Linked DNA regions of Anolis sagrei. The protein of the gene in region 1 interacts with the protein of each later gene in a biochemical or structural test. Links are inferred from orthologs where the notes say so. Each region holds a gene or a part of one and is shown on either strand. Other genes may lie near its edges.

Evidence for each region. The genes of interacting proteins can lie anywhere in the genome.
Region 2: the proteins of DMD (region 1) and DTNA form a complex in vitro, tested with the Homo sapiens proteins (3 studies listed by BioGRID and IntAct, with this or other methods). The link is inferred for Anolis sagrei from reciprocal best matches to the Homo sapiens genes DMD and DTNA.

The regions. Positions count from the first base shown.
Region 1 is NC_090023.1:81,688,192-81,695,966, reverse strand, and holds the start of DMD (dystrophin), read right to left. Parts: upstream 3,019-7,775; 5' UTR 2,895-3,018; coding exon 2,732-2,894; intron 1-2,731. UniProt on the Homo sapiens protein: Anchors the extracellular matrix to the cytoskeleton via F-actin. Ligand for dystroglycan.
Region 2 is NC_090024.1:54,070,307-54,077,575, reverse strand, and holds the start of DTNA (dystrobrevin alpha), read left to right. Parts: upstream 1-4,249; 5' UTR 4,250-4,458; coding exon 4,459-4,475; intron 4,476-7,269. UniProt on the Homo sapiens protein: May be involved in the formation and stability of synapses as well as being involved in the clustering of nicotinic acetylcholine receptors.

The DNA.
Region 1 (7,775 bases):
TGATGCTGAAAATAGCTAGGTGCAGGTGCACGTTGACTCAGAAAAGGAGGACAGTTCTCAGCCTGATAATGAGCAGGAAGGCAAACTGGATAGCACTAACGAACAGACTGACCTTGATGAAGCGGGAACCTTAGATCGTGCTGACAGTTTGGAATTCAGAGTTCGAAGGAGTGTGAGAATAACTAACAAGAAGGAGGTCAGAGGCCAAAGAAACGCTTTTCATGTTTTGCAAAGGGTATTAAGCAGAGTGTTTGGGACCAAACCTTTGTCAGAGCTACTTTTCGTTTAACCAAGAAGCTTGCATTTTGCTTGTCTGGATTATCTTGCAGTTCTTGAGTTCATGGTCTCAGGATTCAGTCATGTTCTCATGGGATTTTGCTTTGCTGGTGCCTATTTGGATCATGCTTTCAAGGTGTTGTTTTGTATTGATCTTTTAGAACATTACTTTTGCTTTTAAGAACTTTTTATCTTCTACTTTTCAATAAACTATAAGACTTCTGGCTGTGTGCAGTTTGGTGTTTTCAGGAAGGTGAACCTACTCTGAGGTGTGACATTAGGGTGTTTAATAGATCAATAATGGCAACACATGTTTAACTAGTATCAGGCAGTGCCAAATCACTATATGTATCTTTAAATGAGCAGCCATCCAACAATCTCTGAGGCCAGATGGTGGTAAATTGATATTTTAGAATGATGTTTCATAAATGTAGTAAGATTTTTACAGTTATTATGTCCCAAGATTGAGACGAAATTCAGAATAACTCTGCCATTTTATTTCACCATAGCAGTGGGACTTTTAAAATATAACAACCATCGATAGTACAGTACATTTGACATTCATAATCTGTTCATTTCACTGTGACACTAGCACTTCAGTTTATTTTCATTCTAACAGTTTGGTTTAAAAAGAAGGCATCCTCACATTCACTCTCCAGGCATAGAGAACCACTGCCGAGATAACAGCAGTCCTTCCAACTACAGATGTGGGACTCACAGAAGCTGTATACACTTTTCAAGTTTGTATTGCAGCTCCAGTTTCTACAATATTCAGCTAAAATTATTTTTTTCTGCAAGGTTTCCCAGAACACCAACTATGTTAGTCTGAGACCAACCCTCTAGCATTTCAAAAGCAAGAAAAGCTGTTATTGTAACATAAGCCTTTATATATTAGATTCTACTTTTATCAAACTATCAAAATCATTTGACTTTCTTGAGAGAAAAGTGACATATACATATTTCAAATAAACAAATAGGTGTACACATGAATAAAAGGTGCACTGCACACATGTATGATAATTTTTAAATGGACGAACAGCCTCCTGTGTGTATGTTTTGTATGGTTGACAAACATTCTATCTGTCTTTATTGCAAGATCTGGATCTTTCTAGGTATGGGCCTCGTGGATCACCATATGTGATCCCAAAAGTAGTCCCCACAGCCATCCTACCTCTGTTGCCCCAGGGAGAGGGAATGGCAGTACCACCCCATTCTGATGTGCCAGGAGCTCTGGAGAAGCCTTGTGCCTTGGTATTTTATGGTATGTTTTTGGATGAAATGGGGTGGGGTAGGGAGGTGAGAGGGTTAGTGGCGGCTATATCCCACTCTGTGAATCAGTACAGGTGGATATCTGGCCACCTCCCCAACAGAAAGGTGAGGTGTCAGACCCATGTGGCTGAAAAATGCAGGAAGAATCAGTGTTTTAAACACTAATTCCACTTGCATTTTGGCCAGTGTAAAAGGGCCCTGAATCACTCACTCTCAGCCACAGAAAACCCCATGATAGATTTGCCTTAGGCACACAACAAAAAAGAAAGTAATATAGAATGTAAGAGGACTAAGAACATGTGCGTCCCATTGAAAACAATGGAACACTTACAATTTACAGTTACTAAAACTGCTCTCATCTGTTCTGTCTTTTTAAAACAAAGCAATCAGCAATATGTTTGATAAAATGCCCTTGTTAATCCATATAGCATGCTTTTGTGCATCCTTTGACATATATAATAGATATCAATACTTGTAGAACACTAGTCACAGCTCACAATGAACATAATACATTCTGATTCTCTAATAATAACAAACTGACCCATATGTGGTTTTTAACCCAGTGACCCAGTTGTTTTACTACTCTAGTAAATTATACAACGATGTTTCATATAATGCATAGTTACTTGGAACTTAGCCATACTAAACTCAAAAGGATTAATGCATAAGCATACATAAGCTTTTGTTTATTTGCGACGCCTTCAGCTTTTAAGATAAGTATTCTGTAATATATACAAAACAGAATTGTTGGGTTAACTGTGCTAGTGTAAACACTGAATGTTCTGCAGAATAATTTCCAAACCACTGATTCTATGGGTTAAGTTTGCCAGGAGCTATAGTAACTTCTATGTTTCATGATTATTATATTCTCAGAGTCAGTTTCTATAATAAAATTAACATTGAAGTCACACGGTACAAGAACCATGTTACTATTAGTACTCTATTCAAACAACAATATTTCTTTTTGACTTTCCTCCACTCCTTGTTTCTAAGTTGTTAGAACGCTACCTTTTAAGGTCAGAATACAGCAGTAAGACAAACTTGTCAGAAGACGAGGCAAACTGATCCAAAAGCTATCTTTAGGGAATGACACTGTTAGAATGTTAACACCATTTAGGCTTTGTCATATTTATATACAGTGGTGAATTGTTTTTATGTATTTATTTATTTATTTTAAAAGACTTACCAGATGAGTCACCAGATATTTCAAAGAATGTCCTGGCTCGTACTTCCATGAGAAAGCTCTCGCTCGTATACATACACACACACACAAGCACACACGCACACACACTTCTTTTTAATTTCCCAGTTGGTTCCTCTCTAACACTGTGAAGATAATGCCTGCACATCTACCGGTGCAATTTTCAAGAGTCAGAAAATAGCACAGTTGTTTTAGCTGCCTTCAGGAACATTACATTCTCTGATGTACTTGTAAACAGTTAGAGCAAAGATAAAGAAGTCTCAGCTACTATCCTGTGAGAATACTAATGTCAACCTCCCCTCCCCTCTCCAGGGCAATGGTTTCTTCCAACACAGTGTCAATCTACCTGATTATGTTCTTTTCTAATCAGTAATCTTTGTTTTCTCTGTAACTGCTGAACCTTCGGTTCATGTGGGAGTTTTGCAAGGAGGCACCATCAACAAGGTAACTGCAATGCAAAAGCAAAAAAAAAAAAAAAAAAAAAATGGGGGGGGGGAGCAGAAACCCCTGAAAGTACTTGGATTGTCCTTAACGTTAACTCTGTCTATACCGAATAAATGTGACAGTGTCTTTGAAAGGGACTAATCCTGTTTTGCCAAGCCTTTTGAAAGTGTGCTAAATCCTTAAGAAGTCTTACTGCATGGCTTGGAGTATTATCCTTAAATATGGAAGGGATTGGAGCTGAAATTAAAAACCAATTCACTAAATGTTTCTTTGTGAAAATACCTCACCTACAATAAGTATTGCCTTCTGTTTCATCTCACTACTAATGCTTAGTATTTGCATTGTGCTGTACACTAATAAATCAAGCTTATGTTCAATGTATTGTCGAAGGCTTTCATGGCTGGAATCACTAAGTTCTTGTGGGTTTTTTTGGGCTATATGGCCATGTTGTAGAGGCATTTCTCCTGACGTTTCGCCTGCATCTATGGCAAGCATCCTCAGAGGATGCTTGCCATAGATGCAGGCGAAACGTCAGGAGAAATGCCTCTACAACATGGCCATATAGCCCAAAAAAACCCACAAGAACTTAGTAAATCAAGCTTAGCTTCAAGTGAAAATGCTGAAGAACTGGTTTAAAATCTACAACAGTGTGCATCTCTAAAGTCTCCATCCTATTCAGAAGCAGAATAATTGAAGGAAGAGGGGAGGGAGCGGTATCCATCAAATTTCACCAAACTTATCAGGGAGGAGTTTGACTGCCCCAACACTTTCCCCAAAAGTGGGGAGCACTAGAAACAATACTACCCCTTTTATTTGTAGTTTATTTAATTGTTGCTGTTTTGATGCAGTGTAAGAAGCACCAAAACACAGTAAAATTGTGTTGGTAGCCAGGATACCATTTTGCATGATTTTGCACCATTTCCCCCATGTTTTAAGCTATACCAATGTGGTAGACTAAGCAAGGTGGGAAGGGGGGGAGAATGGCAATTGTCAGAAAGATTATATGAATAATCTGAAGGGAAAAAAAAACAATGTTTCTTTTTCAAGAAGAACTGGGAGGATTTTTCTCTCCTAAAGTATTAACTATGAAAAAATTAACCTCTCAATATGTATGCATACAATTAAATTGGCTTCTTGGGGCATCATCTTCCCACACAGTGTGTGTATGTATGCATACATACATATGTATGTTTGTGAATGTGTGTATGACATTTTTAAAATAATTTCAAAGCAGAAATCATATCTATTCAGAAATAAGCACAATGAGTTCCAATGGGCTCAACTCTCAGATAAGAATTTGCATCATTGAAGTTTTAGGGTAAGTTGTACACAGAGGCAGCCCTAGGTAATTTTCAATGGTAAGCAAACAGTATTTTGGCACACACCCCCCCCCCCCCAACCAATCACTGATATATATTTTCTGTTTGTCGTGGGAGTTCTGTGTGCCATATTTGGTTCAATTCTATCATTGGTGGAGTTCAGAATGCTCTTTGATTTTAGGTGAACTATACATCCCAGTAACTACAACTCGCATATGTCAAGGTCTATTTTCCCCCAAGAGCACCTCAAGAGCGCCCCTGGGCAAAATCAACTATACTGCAAATGCTTACTTTGCATAATGGGTTAAGCCGTGCCTGGTTGTACACAAAAGCTCCTTCAGATTTCCTGATCTAACACTATGGAATTTTCCAGATGCCTTCTCTGCCAAATATTGCCACTGTTTCATTAAACTGCAACTCCCATGATTCCATAGCATTAAGCCATGACATTTAAAGTGATGTCAAACTGGACTCGTTCTACAATGTAGTTTCCATACCCTCATTTACCAGGAAATATCCTTTCATCTGCTGAATCACTGTATCTGAGCCTCATAAAATCTATACTGAATATGTATTCAGCACATTCACTTTTTGAGAGAAAAAAGGAATGAAAGCACGTAATGATGAGAAAACAGGCTACCATTTCTTATGAAAGCAAGTGGAAAGGAGACAGGTTCCAATATTGAGAAAATGCACCAAAACAGAAAGAAATGAGATTTAGAGCCCTGATATATAGTTCTTGAACTGACACAATTTCCCTCAAGAGTTTAGCAAGAGTTTGAGTTTCGCCTCAGCTCTCTCTCACCAACCAGAGACCAACTCTGGTCATGAGCAGAGATGTGAAGAGTTGGTTCAATATCCTAAGGAAATTTCTCTGGACGGCTGCAATAAGAAAGCTTAATTTTACCTGAAAGTTGTGCTGGTTGACAATTACAAACAGTTCACACTGGGATCTCAGAAACACACAGTGTCCTTCCCCTAGTACTTCAACTGGCAGAGGCAATGAGCTGGAGTTAATTTATTTTGTAGAGGTTATGTAAATCTTTGAAGACATTTCCCAATGGCATTTATTCTCTTCCAGGGAACTTTGGCTATTATAAAGTTCCAATCCCTGGTTCTTAAGTATGTAAGTTTACTTTTTAAAAGTATTAAGTCTGTGAGAGAGACCAAATAGAATACTTGAAAACCCATCACTGACCTCTTGATCTCTGGATTACATCAGTGGAAGGGATATTGTGAAGATGATACTGAATCTCCTAAATGGAGAAGAATGATTTATGCTAGTAATCTACTGGAGTTTACTGACAGAGGGGAAATGGGAGAGGGGGGAGAGGAGGGGAAGCATAGCTTGGAGGGGTATGATGGAAATGTGTATTCATGTGAGTAGATTTAAGAAGTAATCATCTACAACTTTTTTTCAAAAATTGAGCATGGCTCTAAAAAAACCTTGTAAAATAAATGTAACCAAATCCATCCAAACAGAGTTAACAGACTAGTTAAAGCATTAACATTCTTTCCAAAATATATTTATATCACACACAGAGCATGGATGAGGGTTGTTTTTTTTAGTAGGACACAAGTTGGTATCTTAAATATTCATATTGGTAACAGAATACTGGTGTTAAAAAAGGGTTCTCCCCCTTCCATTGCGATTTGAATATGCCTGTCCAACAATACAAATCTTATTTCAAATGGTACTCTGGTTCAAATATCATATACCAAAAAAAACCATTTCTTTGTGCTGAAAATATGTGTTTCTTCCTCAACAAGAAATTAAAAGGAACAAAACCATTTTGGTCTATTTGGACATTCATGTGAAAATTCCAAATTATATCATAGCCCTGTTTTCAGCTTGTTGTAGAGTTGCTGTTCATTTTCTGTTAGTGAAAAACAGCAGGGATAGTAACATTACACCATAGTATTAATGTAAGACAATGTTAACTGCCATACCTCCAAGCCATGAAACCCTGGCAGTAAGCTGAGGTATGTAGAATTGAGTTGCTGTAGGTTTTTTCGGGCTTTATGGCTATGTTCTAGAGGCATTTCCTCCTGAAGTTTCGCCTGCATCTATGACAAGCATCCTCAGAGGTTGTGAGGTCTGTTGGAACTAGGAAAATTGGGTTTATATATCTGTGGAATGTCCAGGGTGGGACAAAGAACTCTTGTCTGTTGGAGCTAGGTGTGAAGGTTTCAACTGACCACCTTGATTAACATTTCATGGCCTGGCAGTTTTTTGGTGTGGCTTCTTAGTGCCTGGGGAAATCTTTTGTTGAGAGGTGATTAGTTGTTCCTGATTGTTTTCTCTCTGGAGTTTCCTGTGTTTGGGTGTTGTTTTGCTGTTATAATTTTAGTGTTTTTTTAACTGGTAGCCAGATTTTGTTTATCTACTTAAGGCAAATGCTTGCCTCCAGCCTTATGTCACAAGGCCATAACATCATATAGGAAGAGGCCTCATGGGACATCTAGTATTATTCCCTGTTCAGTGTGTAAGTATAGGATGCTATGTCTCATTCACAAAAGAACTATTGCTTGTCTTAACAGATGTACATCTAGTTTCAAATCATTATTTATTCATTAGATTCAACATAAAAGAACATTAAAAGTTTATAGGTTATAGAACATAGGTATAAGATTATTTGGTACTCTAACACCCATTTAAAACACATCCAAAATTTACCTATTGCACACACATCCATATTAAATAAAGCATGAAAAACAGTTTTGGAATATTTTTCCACGTCTTATCTGGGTGAGTAGTGATTTGTATATGACTGGGTGTTGTAAGCATCTTCCCCCTCCTATGTGGTTGTGTAGAAAATAAACAACTGGCAGAAAATAGAATGATCAGGTGTTATTTAGTAACCTGGAACTAGTTTCAGATTTGGTTACATGGCAACTGTGAGAGTAGCAGCACTTACAGTATCTGAGTGCTGGTATAATAAAAAATATGGTAAGGATAATAGCAGCAGCAATTCTCCAGAATCCCCACTTGTCACTTCTGCCATATGTAGGTGATCTGAAGAGAGGTGGCATTTTTAAAAGGACAATGGACAGGGCCTCAAGAGAGGGAACATTTGTCATGGTATGTGCATATTTTTTCTTGTCCACTGTCAATCCTGATCAAAAAGGCTTTGCAAGTCTGTATATGAATCCCCAAGCAGTCTATTTGCCAGATGTCAAATTAGGTCACCACAAGAAGCAATCCCCTTTTAAGGTTTGGTTCAAGATTTCTCTAAAATAACCATAATTATTGTCTATCTCCTGCA
Region 2 (7,269 bases), on another chromosome or scaffold:
CAAGCATAACCAGTGGTGAGGCCTCCTGGTAGCTGAAGTCCTACAATGTTTTGTGGACTTTTTGATTCCCAACTCTGCTGTGTAGTAAGCAAAGACATTGAAGCCTAACACTTTGTGAAGTCAAAAGAGAAACAAAGAAAGGGAATGTCTTGTTACCCTCTGGTTGAGACCTTTAATAATTGCAGATCGCTACAAGTCCTTTCAGGGAATGGAATGCAAATAAACTGTGACAGTCTCAGAATTAGAAGTTTAGTATCTATAAAACTTCCAGAGAGAGATAGTGGTAGAGTTACTTCTGGTCGTTTTTATAACCCCATCTCTCACAGGATATAAGCAAGTTTTACGCATTTACAAAAATGAGAGGTGACATGGAAGGAAATTGTTACTAGCCCTTCGTGCATCATCCGGCTTGGATTCTCGTAAGTGCGGATTTCCCCTCTCCTTGACCACGGACTGTTTCTGACAACGATGCTACCTTTGGGACTTTGGAATCTTCATCTGGGATTTCTTCAACTTGGGACTGTTTTTGGACGACAGCTTTTCTTCATGGCTCTTTGTTTTACCATTATCTTTGAACTGTGTGATTTTGGTGTGTTTTGAACTAACACTGGTTTAATCCGATTTTTTGCAAGTTTAATCCAGTTTATTTTCCAAGTTATTTATTTATTTTATTTACTTTATTTGTATACCGCACTCTCTCAGCCCATAGGCGACTCAGTGCGGTTTACAACCAAACCAATATACAAAGTGCACAACATTAGCAATTAAAACAGTAACTAAGGCAACTACATCAATATAACAATACATCAGTACATCAATCTAACATCAATACATCCATATAACTAATCCATCACGTCTCATCAGTAAAGTCATAATCTGATCTCCTCATCCATTATTCCAAGTTCCAAGATCAATCAATTAATTAAGTTCATTTTTTAAGCTGCAAGTTGCTGCAAACTTTGAGTTTTGACCAGAGACACTGAGGCAAGTGTCTCTGAGTCCTGTTTACTTTGATTTAATAAACTGTTGTTTTGAATACTTCCTTGTGTCTGGCTCTTTAAGGCATCTGGGTTCCGGCAGATAGTGTACATTGAATTTTTTAGTTCTTAGGTAGCTAATTCTCTAAAATACTGTTTCAAAATGTTTCAAAGCCTTTTGAGTATCAAACAAAATAAGCAAGCAAGCAGGCAAAGTAAATCCAGTTGTTAGTCTTGCCTTCAGTTAAACTGTCTCTGAACTGAAGTTTGGTACAGTGTACATTTCCAGGTGACCGAAGCAAGCTCAAAAGCAAGCTCCACTGCAGCTGATTTTATATGTGGTAGGTTTGTATCAGATTGCAGCCTTACTCAGTAGTTCAGGATTAATATCTATCATTTGTGGCAGGTATATCTAATTGGAATATTGTACTAGATTCGTAAACATTTGACAAAGTCTTTCCCAACTTGTCATCAAAGTGTCTGGGCCATGTTTCCATTTGAAATTCCAAACTGATTGCTCTCAGAAAGGACAAGCAACAACCAGACCTAACTCAACACAAAACCATGGTAGATGCCTCGAGATGCCACATAACATTCTTAGTTATTGTCAGGATGGCAGCAGCAACTTGTCGAGTCAAAAGGCAAAATTCCAAAAAGTTTGTTTTAGAAATAAAAAGGGGACATTATAAATCTGGGAAATCATGCCCCCGGTGGTACAGTGGATTAAACCCTTGTGCTGGCAGGACTGAAGACCGACAGATCACAGGTTCGAATTCAGGGAAAACATGGATGAGCTACCTCTGTAAGCCCCAGCTCCCCGTGCAGAGACATGAGAGAAACCTCCCACAAGGATCGTAAAGCATCAGAATATCCGGGTGTCTCCTGGGCAACATCCTTGCAGAAGGCCAATTCTCTCAAACCAGAAGCGACTTGCAGTTTCTCAAGTCTCTCCTGAGATGAAAAAAAAATCCTGCTGGGTGCCCCAAAAGTTGAAAGAGTTTATCTAAGCATCATAACAGTTTGGGAATTTTTTTGTTTAATAATCTTTATTTAATTTTTAAAGAGTACATTAAAAATAGTATAGCATAAAAATATGGTGGTCTTTAAATAAAGAAAGTTATATAGAGTTAAAGATACAGATAAAGATTCGTGTGGGATATGATAAAAGGGAATTGGAGGGTGGGGGGGGGGGGGTAGAAAGATATGACAAAATGGCAGTGTGAAAAGATACAAAGATTAGCTGATAATAAGTGGGAAGTAGGAAGATATATAGAAAGATAGCATTGAAAAAACAGATAAGAACGTAGATGTCTTGGTTTCCCAGTGTTTTGTCTGAGGTTCTCTCCATTTCCTTTCTTTTCCTTTTACTTACTTGTTTTTTCTCTTTCTCCCTCCCTTCATTTTTCCCATTTCTTTCTCTTGTCTAAATAAGTTTGGGAAATAATTTTAATGGGCTAACAAAGAGGAGTGACCTCTCTAAGATACGACTGTTAAGATTCGTAAAGCAGGGGAATAATTGGGAAAACAGGAAAGGGCTAAAAGACTGCCACTCAGATTCCCGAACTTAAAGGAGGGTCTGGAAAATATCTTTCCTAAGTGAGATTTGTGAGGTGAAATGGGTGGCCAAGAAATAAAAATAGATTCAGTGGATGATTAGTTGCAGATCCAGACTGCAATAGGCACATTCCCCATGGCAAGAACATCAGAACAGCCCTGTTAGATCAGGACAAATCTCTCCCAATCTGCCATTCTGATCTCAGAATGGGAATATCTATAGGAAGTCCACCAGCAGAACACAATTGCTCTAGGACATTAATGGTTGTGTTCCCTCATAAATGAACGTACTGAAAGGCATGCCTCTTCTGAAAGTAATAGCCATTGTTGTCCTCCATTATTTTTTTTATAATCCTTCCTAAAAACGATCAATGTTAGCGGCCATGACTATCTTTTAATGTTGAATTCCACAGCTTCCCTTTACATGGTATAAAGGTACTTGCCCTCAGTCTCAACTATTCAGTTTAATTGGAATAATCTAGGATTTTAGCATGAGAAAAGGAAGACATATTCTTCTCCCCTTTCTCCCCATGCAGAATAGGCACACTTAGTCATTAGCTAATATTAGATTTGGCAGCAGTATTAGATTTCAGCTACCTCTTTCTTGGAAATCGGCTTGGCATCATTCCCTGATGTTTCTGTACCAGCCTGTTTTTCTAAATCCATTAATAATTTTTCTTAAAGTGCTATGGAGAAGACAAGATATCTATAAAGCTTACATTTTTTTCAGCTTTCCCAAAAGCGAATTACAGTATTCTTACATGACTTTAAGTAAGATTAGACAAATGTATAGCAGGTAGATCTACCAAAAGCTAGTAACACTAATTACTAAAAATTACGAGTGTAGACATACATTGAATCCAAGTGCTTGATTGTATTAAAACCTTCTGATAGCTTCAGAATATAATCCAAAAGACAAAATAATAATTAGTTCAAGAACTTACTAGATTTGCAGGTAAGCAGATTTATGCCACTAGTTTCCACATAGTATATGGAGGGAATGCCCCTTCGGAGATTGTGAATGCAGTGTCTTAATGCTGCTGATACAATGCAATTCTAAATGTTATTATAACTGCAGTTTTAAGTAACGCTTTCATGGAAATAAATTTCATTGACATATAGGGCTCTTACAAACAGGCATGTTTATTTATTTAGGTGTTCTTGTCTCTCTTTCCAAGAGAGAATGCCCTCAAAAAAGTGCTTTGGGATCCAGATGTAGATAGATGCTGTTCATTTTGGTAATACGGATGTTCCAATTGTGACATAGAGTGGGTGTTGCTCTTTTCACTCAGCTCTGGGATTCTCTATATGCTCAGTGATGTAGAGCACATAATTACGCATGTTCTTAAGGCCGGGTAGCTCCTGTCCTCTGTTGCCGCAGGCTCTCAGGAATGTCACTTGCAGAACATTCCTTTCCTGGGCAGCCAAGTTTGGAAGCTAGTTTATTCCTGGCTGCAAAACTGCAGTAATGCCTGAATGAGAGACATGGCAGGAGGGCTTCAATTTCTGCCTGTACCCAAACACCAAGGAGAAGCAGTGAGAGCGTCTTCTTTCATCTTGCCGAGACAGGTAACAACAACCGCAGAAGCAGCAGCTGTCTGGGGCTCTCCAAAGGAGGGAAAGTGAGGGAGGTGGAGTAACAGGGGGTGGGGGAGAGAAGAGAAAGGGAGTGGATCTGAGTGCTTGTGATTGGTAAGCCTCATGAAGGCATCTGCCAGCAGGACTTCAGAGGAATGTGAAACCAAATCATTTACAAGTTAAAGATAGAACCAAGAGTACATAGCATCTTGGGCACTAGTTTCAACTTAGTCTCTTGAAGACTGTTGCCTTGGGAGTTTTCTTTTCACTGCCTCCAAGGCACCTCAGTTTTTATTCTATCAGACTCTCATTTAGTGTTTTGGAATAACTAGGAGTGTGTAAGAAGATCATGGTGCATGCTGCAGGGTAAGTAACAAGCTTCATTTGAACTCCTTATTTCTTTTACCATGCTTGTTCAGCTTCTGGTCTGAACGTTACAGGGAGGCATGCCTACAGGTAATGTTCCCTGTTTGCCCCTTCAGAGTGCATGCCTCAGCGAATTGGCATTATACAACTTTTCTTGTTGTGGCATGCATGAAGACATATTTAGATTGAAAGCAGTGTTTCTTTCCTGCTAGATTTATTTTGCCCTAATGGTGTGCTAAATCTTTTTGTTTCAATTGCAGAATGAAAAGCACTTCGGCCATAGTAAATTTAGGAGCAAATTCGTATTTCTGTGTATATAGCATAGTAGCAGGCTATCCTAGATGCATCTTAGTGCCTCCTGTTATTCTATTCTGATTCTGGCACTGGTTCTGTGTAGCTTGGGAACACAAATAGATTTTTGTATCCCCAAGCTTCAGTTTGGCTTTTTTGGCAGGGTATTTCACTGTGGACTGTTTAGTTTTTTTGTCTGTGCATTTATGCTCCATTAGAAATATGCAGTAATCAAGAGTGATCTTTTGGTTAATTGAACAAAAGTAAGCAAGTGCTTGTTTATTAGATGAGTCTACTTATCTTCATTTGAATTGTAACATTACGTCCAGCTATTTATGTGTATATTCCAGTGAGGTTGGTAGATCTTTTGGAAGAAAATACTTACGTTATTTACATGTGAGAAAGAGATTTAATGGAATTATTTTAAAAACAATATTATTTAAAAAATGACACAGAGGAAGGAAGGATCCAGGCATATTATTTACTTCCTTGCCAAAATGAAATGTAATGCATAGGCTGTGCTTTACTTCATTGGTGTTTGTTAAATATTGGTCTCCTATGAAGTCATTTGTAGCTTGCACTTTTATTATGGTGTAAAATATTTCCTCCACTCCATTAATAATATTACATTTTTGAAATTTTATCTGTAACAAGGCTTTTTGCACTAGCTGTAGGAGGCAAAATGTTTTTTTTTATGGAGATATAAAATTACTGTTCCTCTGCTTGCATTTTAGAGAGCTCTTAAATTTCACAAAGATATCTTCAACTTGAAAATATGAGGAGAAACACTTGGCTACAACTCAAATCATTTTTGAACAGAAAATCTTCTGCACCTGACATTCTGTTCCTTTTCTTTGATAACTAATTCCATAAGTCACAGTGCTCAAGAGAATTGGGAGGAGGAGTGTATAAATAGCAAAAATAAAACTGAATATATGCAGTCGTTGCTTTTCCCCTGGTGACCATGACCGAGAGGAAGTAGAAATAATTTGCAAGAACAAAATGCAAAATGGAGGGGAGGAATGTGGGGATTATAATGTGCTGAATGGGATCTTAACTTAATACTTCTAATCTTCAGATTTTTGTGTACTGCTGTATGTATAATCATAGTATTTTAAGCTTTGTGACTCACAAAGTAGACTGAACAACCCCAACCTGGTCAGCCATTAGGCTACTTAGTGAACGGGTACAGTTCCAATTTTAGAAGTGGACGGGGCAGTGTTGGCACTATACCTTGTTGTAAAGTCAAGTTGGGAACAAATACTTTTGAAATTGGTCTGGGTCAGGTGCTTGTAGCTTTTCAATTCTAGGCATAACTTAGTAATTTAAATATGCATATTCTTAGAATCTAGAAAACTCTGTAAGAGATTTATACTAAACTGTTAAAACATGTATTTAGGGCATAGCCCAGCCAAAATTAATCCCTTTTATACTGAAGCTCTATGCACATGAACCTGGAAATAAGCAATGTTGAAAATATTTGTCTTTATTTCCTAACTAAACATCCATAGGATTGCATTATTATTCCCACTCATTTCAGAGCTAAACAGATGTTTAACTCTTATTCATATCAGTGGAACATTCATCTGTGTTGTAGCTGGATTTTGCCAGAAGATTTTGCTCATACTTAAATGTATACTCTCCTTTCCTTCTGTGTATAACATACATAGGGAAACAGTACTTGAGCATACTCACATCTAGTGAAAAGTCACTCTGTAAGATTTCCTGGTTTCCTCTAATAGAGGATGATGTATGTGTCATGTATGTGCATATGGGATAGAGCAAATAGAGCAATGAGACTTTCTCAGGCCCCTTCCACACAGCTGAATAAAATCCCACGATATCTGCTTTGAATTGGAATATATGTCATTGTGTACTCAGATAACCCAGTTTCTGCCTTGATATTCTGGGTTATATGACTGTGTGGAGGGGCCCTCAGTCATTGGTGTCCAAATCCTGGTAAAGCCTTTCCAGAGCAGTATGCCTACCTACATTCCTTTGCAATGTTAGGTCAGTAGTGAAGATTTCTATTGAACCATACTTTTAATTAAATGTTTTGACTACATCCAGACAAGTTCCTACTGCTAGCAATAAAAAAGACATTATTCAGCTGTACTATCAATCCCTTTTTGACAGAAAAAAAGATAAAAGGGCAGGAAAACACATCAGGGTTATAAATGGAAGATACCTGAAACACCCTTCCCCCCAGCTCTGTGAATGAAGAGAAACAATTACACCATAAAGGTTTTATTTGGAAGTATCCTACTTCTTTTACAGTGTTTCAAACGGATGCTGCTTTTGTAATGTAATCATTTATTGTGTGTTAAAATCCATGGATTTTCTGGTTTAGCTAATCACATTCAAGCCACCTTGAATGTAGTTTGTTGTTTATATAACAACAACAGCCACAACAATAGATAATCATTTTCCTATACTGTATGACCACCATATCCATAGGGGATACATTTCTGGACTTAACAAAGTTAGTGAAAATAATCAATAA